Sus scrofa: one gene and its partner. The protein of the gene in region 1 purifies or fractionates together with the protein of each later gene. This does not show direct contact. Links are inferred from orthologs where the notes say so. Each region holds a gene or a part of one and is shown in the gene's direction. Other genes may lie near its edges.

What was found. Proteins that work in one complex are often made in the same cells at the same time.
Region 2: the proteins of MYL6 (region 1) and IQGAP1 purify together in Homo sapiens (affinity purification with mass spectrometry; 4 studies listed by BioGRID and IntAct, counting the BioPlex papers as one, with this or other methods). This does not show direct contact. The link is inferred for Sus scrofa from reciprocal best matches to the Homo sapiens genes MYL6 and IQGAP1.

What each region holds. Positions count from the first base shown.
Region 1 is NC_010447.5:21,557,980-21,562,124, forward strand, and holds the start of MYL6 (myosin light polypeptide 6), read left to right. Parts: upstream 1-1,345; 5' UTR 1,346-1,376; coding exon 1,377-1,379; intron 1,380-1,642; coding exon 1,643-1,670; intron 1,671-1,853; exon of another isoform or gene 1,854-1,873; intron 1,874-2,532; coding exon 2,533-2,676; intron 2,677-2,875; coding exon 2,876-3,049; intron 3,050-3,142; coding exon 3,143-3,220; coding exon of another isoform or gene 3,221-3,411; exon of another isoform or gene 3,412-3,528; coding exon 3,529-3,557; 3' UTR 3,558-3,574; exon of another isoform or gene 3,575-4,145. Other genes in the region: MYL6B (myosin light chain 6B), read left to right, coding at 1-29, 515-592, 742-770. UniProt on the Homo sapiens protein: Regulatory light chain of myosin. Does not bind calcium.
Region 2 is NC_010449.5:53,121,479-53,124,978, forward strand, and holds part of IQGAP1 (ras GTPase-activating-like protein IQGAP1), read left to right. Parts: intron 1-1,629; coding exon 1,630-1,752; intron 1,753-3,500. UniProt on the Homo sapiens protein: Plays a crucial role in regulating the dynamics and assembly of the actin cytoskeleton.

The sequences.
Region 1 (4,145 bases):
AGAGCTCAGACATGTCCTCACTACCCTGGGTGAGGCAGGGACCAGAACTGTGGGGTGGAGAGGAGGGGGTGAACCAAGAAGAAGGTTAGCCAAGCAGGCAGAGCCAGGGAGGGATTACTGTCCTGGAGGTCATGGGCAGAAGACCGAGAAGGTCAGAGCCTGCTTCTGGGGTACAGATGCCTCCCAAAGGGCAGAGGAAAGGGGATGAGATGGGAGATCTGAGCTTCTATTTTGGAAGAGATGGTTGGCCTCTGTGATATGGTATGTGTCTCTTAATCCTCTGAAATTCAGTTTCCTTGTCTGTGGAGCTTTCACCAGGTGTAACTGAGGTGAAATGGAAAGCAAGATGCTGGGAGGCATTCAAGGCATGCGCATTACAAGGACAGGATTCTCTTGGGGGACTGTTGCTATGGGCAAGTCTCCAGGGTGGGAGAAGAGGTACCACCCAGAAGAATGAGGCCTGGGTTGATGAGGGAGGGAAGGCAGGGGCTAAAACGCTGTGTCTGGGGTTTAGGAGAGAGGATGACTGAAGAGGAGGTGGAGACAGTTCTGGCAGGACATGAGGACAGCAACGGCTGCATCAACTATGAAGGTGAGCGGCTAGGAGCTGAAGAGACAGGGGAAGAGGGGAAGCATGAGGCTCCTCGTATGTGGGGGCGCGTCCTGTGGCCCAAATTATCTAAAGTCAGATGGATTATCAAGACCATCTTCTGAAGCCCCTCTTGCCTCCTCTCTCTGCAGCCTTCCTGAAGCACATCCTGAGCGTCTGAGCTCTACAGGTAGGGCCCTCCCACTTCGCCTTGTGAGGCCAGCCTGCTTCCCTTCCCTCTACCAGAGACATACGTTTCCACGTCCTGCTGCGCGCTTGAGCTCCAGGATTTGGCAACGTTCATCTTTTTCCACAGGTGCAGTGGGGCTCGACAAGGAGTCCCCCTACCCCTCGCGGGCGAAAGCAAGTTCCTGCCGCTAGGAGGCCACCTATTGTTTCAAAATAAAGTGACGGTTCCTCCCCTAAACCTCCGACTCTTGCTTTCTTCAGAGGTGGGGGAGGGAAGGAAGGAAAGGGAGGGATCTCCTCTCCCAAATCCGACATCCCCCGATTTTCCTGCGGCTCGCAGGAGGAGATTCCTTGCGCCCCACCCCACCCTCCTCTGCGGTTTCTGTGCCCCGGGTAGGACTATTCTGAAAAATGAGCCGCAGCGGGCCCCGCCCACCTCCTTACTAATGTAGCAGCAGCATCTGCATAAGACCGGGCCAGGATCCCTATTGGCTGGGTCAACGGAGGGTGACGTCATTGGGACGTACTAAGACTAGGGTTGGGCCGAGAACCGGAGCCATTACTGCAGGAAAAGGTCCCGCAGAGCCAAGCAGTCAAGATGGTGGGGCCCGGGGCTGGGAGGATGAGCGGGATTGGGGGCGAGAGGCGGGAAGCCGGGGGTAGGGGGCGAAGAGAAGGCAGAAGGTAGGGGGCAAAGGGACTTGAGGGTTGGAGGTGGGGTTGGAGATGTTGAGAGCCTGCCCTGCTGGGAAGCGAGAGTGCCCAGGATGGAACAGGAGTTCGTGGTTCAGAGTTCTTGGGACGGGGCTGGAAGCTTGGGGGATTGGAGTTAAGATGCTGATCGCTCCCCTCTTCTCCGAGCAGTGTGACTTCACCGAGGACCAGACCGCAGGTAGGTAATCTCTGACCCCGCTGAGGTCATGCTTAGGGAGAGGGACATTCCTTCTAGCACCTACCCCCTACCTGTCATTTCTTCAGCACCCACAAGGGAGTACCTCGTGGATTCCCTTCTCCCTCCTTCTGGGCCTCCATTTTCTTTTCTCAATCTTTCTTCCTCCCTCCCTTTCTACTCTAGATCTGAGCCCCAAGCACCGGGTGAGTTCTGTAGGTGGTGTGAGCATGTGAAACAGCTTGGCCACCAATGTCTGCCGTGTGTGGGGCTCGGGAGTGATGTATTAAGCTGCTTGTGCTCCTCTGTTCCTTAATCACCTCCTTCTGCCTCTTCTCTCCTCCTGTGCTAACTTTCCCCCTCCCCCAGCTTGGAATTGTGAAGGTTGTAAGAAGCAGTGACCTGTTGTTTTGCTGGTACAGGGGAGTTTGTTGAGGACGCTTCTTTGCAGCTATACTCTCTGAAAGATTTCTTTCTGTACTGAAGGGGTGAGAGTGGCAGGCTGGGATGACCCCAGTCCCAGGCTGCTGCTCCCACTTCCTTATAAGGACAAGGCCCAGACTGGGCGGTGGCAAATTCCTGCCCTGAGTACTGTAGTGAGGAGGCTGGGCAGGCTTGCTGTAGGCAGAGGGGGTATGGAAATGGCAGTTACCACTCTGCCAGGGCTTGAGGAGAGCTGTCTTTATGTGGGACACCTGAGTTGGGAAGAAGGGACACTAGATCCCTCTTAGAGGGCTTGGGTGTACAGTGGTATAAATATCTGGTTTCCTCAGCGTGATTAAAGTTGAATGGGCAACGGGGACTGTGAGGGAGGGTTTGGGTTCATCTGTGCCTGCCAGGTGCTGATGTTTATCCGAATCCTCAGAGTTCAAGGAGGCCTTCCAGCTGTTTGACCGAACAGGGGATGGCAAGATCCTGTACAGCCAGTGTGGGGACGTGATGAGGGCCCTGGGCCAGAACCCCACCAACGCCGAGGTGCTCAAGGTCCTGGGGAACCCCAAGAGTGATGGTAAGAGTCCTCAGAACAACCTGCTCAGCATGGTGGCAGGCCCGCAGTCTCCGGCTAATAGCTTCCTTTTATCTTCCTAGGCCCTGAACTCAAGCAGGTCTTGTCTAGCAAATCCCACAGATTTCTCCTGCCTTGAGTGGGAGCCCCGTAACCTCCAGTAAGAACACACGTGACTTTGCTCTCACCCCCTTTGTGGCAGAGATGAACGTGAAGGTGCTGGACTTCGAGCACTTCCTGCCCATGCTGCAGACTGTGGCCAAGAACAAGGACCAGGGCACCTACGAGGACTATGTCGAAGGCCTGCGGGTGTTCGACAAGGAGGGCAACGGCACCGTCATGGGTGCGGAGATCCGGCATGTTCTTGTCACACTGGGTAAGGCTCCGCCCTTGCTCCTTGAGCTGAGGTGCCACCTGATACACCTCACCTGTCACCCAGTTCCAGAACACTCACTCTTCCCCTCTGCAGGTGAGAAGATGACAGAGGAAGAAGTAGAGATGCTGGTGGCAGGGCATGAGGACAGCAATGGTTGTATCAACTATGAAGGTAAGGGACAAATGGAGGCTCTCACAAACGCAGTGGCTATCAGGGGCAGGTCAGGCACAGTGTTTGGGGCTTTCCTTGTCCCTGGGCTTGGGCTGCACAAAATGCCAGGAGGCAAGGGGCAGGGCCTGGCCCAGCCCAGGAGTGGGAGGCCTGGGGGGTGTGGCAGGAAAGGAAGGGCTCCTGCGGCTTGAAGGGCGGGCAAGGGGTGGGGCGTAAAACCAATGGGTGTCTTGTTCCCTCACCGCCTGATCCCCTTCACCCCACGTCTATGTCTTGTCTTCACCATTAATGTCTCTTCCTTCCTGCAGCGTTTGTGAGGCATATCCTGTCGGGGTGACGGGCCCCGTGGGGCGGGTACGGCTCCTCCCAGCCCCCCCCTTCTCTAGTTGCCCTCCCCAGTGTTTTTCTTCCTGGCCTTTGCTCTCTGGCCCCTGCCCTTCCCCTACTACCATGACTTCCTCCTAGCATGTCTCTGCATGGAGCTGACTGAGGAGGGGGGGTTCTTCAAAGAGGAAGGCAGCCTGGGGGTGTGGTACCTCCTCCTCTCCTAGAATGGGCTCTGAGGTTTTGCTTCTAGGGCGCTGGCGTCTGGGAACTCACACCAGCCTATCCCCGTCTTGCTTCAGGGTGACCCTGTGGCCCGGGAGCATGGGCGGTTGACAGAGGGGGGTGGGTTGCCCGCCCCATGGTGCTGCTGCAGCCGGAGTCGCTTCCCCTTCCTTCTGCTGGGCAGCTTGGAGGTACCCTAACCCAAAACTCTGTCTTTTCCTCCCGCCAATGGCTGACAGTAGCTGTAGGTGTAGCTGAGAACTCTTCTGCTCTGCTGTGTTCTTGCTGCTCAGGGTCGGGTGGGGAACTAACAGCTGGTGGGAGGGGAGCTGGAGGCCGAGAACCAGTCAGACTCAAGGTAGCGCCTCTGCAAACT
Region 2 (3,500 bases), on another chromosome or scaffold:
CCATGATTTGTTCTCAGCTGCCAAGAAAAGTCTAAAATGCAGCCTTTTTGGTGCTGGCCACAAACCATCAGCCTGCCTGGTTTACAAGGAGAGAAACTGAAAATCCAGAGAGGCGAAGTGGTTAAGCACAGGTCCTACTTATTAAAAGTGATAGTAAACTTTTCATCTTAAATATTTTCAAACCCCAGAAGGGCTGAATGAATAGAACGCTGAACATCCATATACCTGTCGCCTAGATTCACCTGTATTTAACACTTTGCCACATCAGCTTCCTCTCTCTCTAGCTTGCTTGCTCTTCCATCTGTGCTTTTTCTCTCCCTCCCTGAAAACTTCCTCGAGTAAGGGAGAGCTGATGTGAAAACCCAACTTGCAGAGTTGGCTCCTGTGTCCTTTTAAAATGTCTCCATCGTTCTTTTAGCACCTCTTGACTTTGTGGCATAATATGTTTCTGGTTCAATTTGTACTTTCCCTCCCTAAATTTGGATTTAGCTATTTTTCCAAGCATCCCTGGTTCCTTTTAATGAAAAACGGTATTTAGAAACCAAGATCTAGGCACTAGATGTGCTCATTGCCACACAGACATCATTGTTTCAGGCCTTCTAAGCGGACAGAGCTATGTTCTTTCTTTTTTGATGGCTTGGTGGTATTCCATTGTATAGGTAACTATAAGTGCTTAATTCTCCATTGTTGAGTATTTACATTATTTCCAATTATCATAAAAAATTCTGTAACAAATAACTTCTTGTACATATTTTGCAAATATAGGCATGTTTTGGAAGATAAATTTCTATAAATGTAATTGCTGGGTCAAAATTTTGTACAGTTGTGATTTTGATAGATATTTCAGTTGCCAGCCTTAGGGATTATTCTCTTATACACAACTACCAGCTTTTCTGTCCCACTTCTTTGAGACCCTCCCCTTGAGAGTACCAGGTCTCTTCTCACTCGTTTCTTTTCTTTGCTTATTTTTCTTACCACTTCTTGCTTTGGGTATCCCAATAGCCTTCCAACATCTATTTCTTTTTCCTTGCTCACATTCCTCTATAATTGCTATGCTGGCTCAAACTCTTTTAAAAATTACATATTCTAGGAATGCCCTAGTGGCTTAGCACGTTAGGATCTAGTGTTGTCACTGCTGTGGCCCAGGTTCGATCCCTGGCCCAGGAACTGCCACATGCTGCAGGCATGACCAAAAAAAAAAAAGTTAAAAAAAATGATGTATTCTAAGACATTTTTATTTTTTTTCTGCACAGCCAAGAGGCTTAGAGTCATTCCCCTGGGGTTCAGTACAATTCCCTCAGGCTGGCATTAAAAGCCCTCACACTTACTTTCACTTACTTTAGATGCTTAGGTTCTAGGGGGGACATAGAAGGATTAAGATATTGTTGCATTCATGGTGTGTCCTCAAATATAATTTAAATCAAAGTAAAAGCAACGGAGTAATGTTTCTCTGTTTTGCAGAGATGTTGCTTTGTCAAATCCTAGCATTTATTTGCCATTCTAGAACTGGCTTGTTTCTTAGGCTTGTGTATGGGAAGTTTGTTTGCTGATCTCATATCCTTGAATTATCAACAAAGATTCATAATTGATAGTTATTTATGGAAAGTGACATGATGTGATTTTTTACAGGGTCTCCAAAAAGCCTAGGGAAATGAAAGGAAAGAAAAGCAAAAAGATTTCTCTAAAATATACAGCAGCAAGACTACATGAAAAAGGAGTTCTTTTGGAAATTGAGGATCTCCAAGTGAATCAGTGAGTATTTATGTTTTTATTGTTTTATATATTGATTTTTAAATTTATGCATTTGTCATATCTTTATCTTATTGACTTTGTTTCTCTGGATAATCATTTTTATATTTTATGTGTATAATTAATTATGTGCAGAATTTGGCCTAATATGCAGTTAATTTGTCTCTCATGGAAAAGAAGGTATTTCTTTTCCTTGTTTGTGGAACATTTGTCTTGGGACATTTTACTTTTCCTTTTTAAAGCAGGAAGCCATTCCTTCCATTTATTTCTGTGTCCAAACTAAGAATAAATAAGACGGATGAGAAGAGCAGTGCCCTGCATTTCACCTGAGGCTAGGAACCTGGGACTTAGCTCATCTTCTTGGTTTTACTTTTTTTTTTTTTTTTTTTTGTCTTTTTTTGTCTTTTTGTCTTTTGTTGTTGTTGTTGTTGTTGTTGCTATTTCTTGGGCCGCTCCCGCGGCATATGGAGGTTCCCAGGCTAGGGGTTGAATCGGAGCTGTAGCCACTGGCCTACGCCAGAGCCACAGCAACGCGGGATCCGAGCCGTGTCTGCAACCTACACCACAGCTCACGGCAACGCCGGATCGTTAACCCACTGAGCAAGGGCAAGGACCGAACCCGCAACCTCATGGTTCCTAGTCGGATTCGTTAACCACTGCGCCACGACGGGAACTCTTGGTTTTACTTTTTACATTATCACACATGTGTTATCACACATGTGATAACACCTTTATCTGTAAACCTTTGTTTTTTTATGGTGGATGCTTAAAAATGTAATTTCTAGTCAGAATATTAAAAAAATGTTTGTTGTACAAAAACACAAAACATAAAATTTACCATCTTAACTATTTTTTACAGTGTACAGTTCAACAGTGTTAAATATATTCTTATGGTTGTACAAAAGAGCTCCAGAACTTTTCCATCTAACAAAACTGAAACTGTGCCCTTCAGACATAGTTTAAAGCCCCAGCCCTGGGCAACCAACATTCTCTTCTCTGTTTCTATGAATTTCACTCCTCTAGGTGCCCCATAGAGGTGGACCCACACACTGTGTAAGGTCACTTTTCTTTCTGTGGTTCCTTCACTTTTAGCGTGATATCCTCTCAAGGTCCATCCATGTTATAACCTGTGACAGATTTCCTGCCTTTTTAAGGCTGGCTAATTTCCCATTGTATACATGGCAATGGGAATGTTTTGAGACCCTACTTTGAATTCTTTTAGATATATACCCAGAAGCGAGATTGCTGGATCATATGATGGTTCTATTTTTTATTTGTTTGTTTGTTTGTTTAGGAACTGCCATACTGTTTTCCATAGCAGTTGGGGGAAAAAAAAGTAATAAAATAAAGTATTTTCTTTATTTTATTAACTAAATAAAACAAAGTATTTTCTAGGAGTGTCTGAGAAGTGTGTGAAAGCGCTTACCTCACTACTTCTTTGCTGTCATTGAATAGTAAAACAAGTTTTGATGTTTTTGAATCAGTGCATTAAAAATGGTAGTATTTTAAAATTTTGCATTTTTTAAAATTCCAGGTTTTTTCTTTTTTGGTGTATGTGTGTTTAAATGTGGCTTATTATCTATATTTTCTCTGGTCACTTTTTCATTCGGGAACCTTGGTCTTTTGGGATTATTTTTTTAGTTGAGCACTTTATGCATTTTTCAAATCTGTTTCATAATATTTACCATCTCCTCCCTTCTTTTTGTCATTATTTGCCACTACTGTTCAAGTGCCTACCATTATTTTGACTC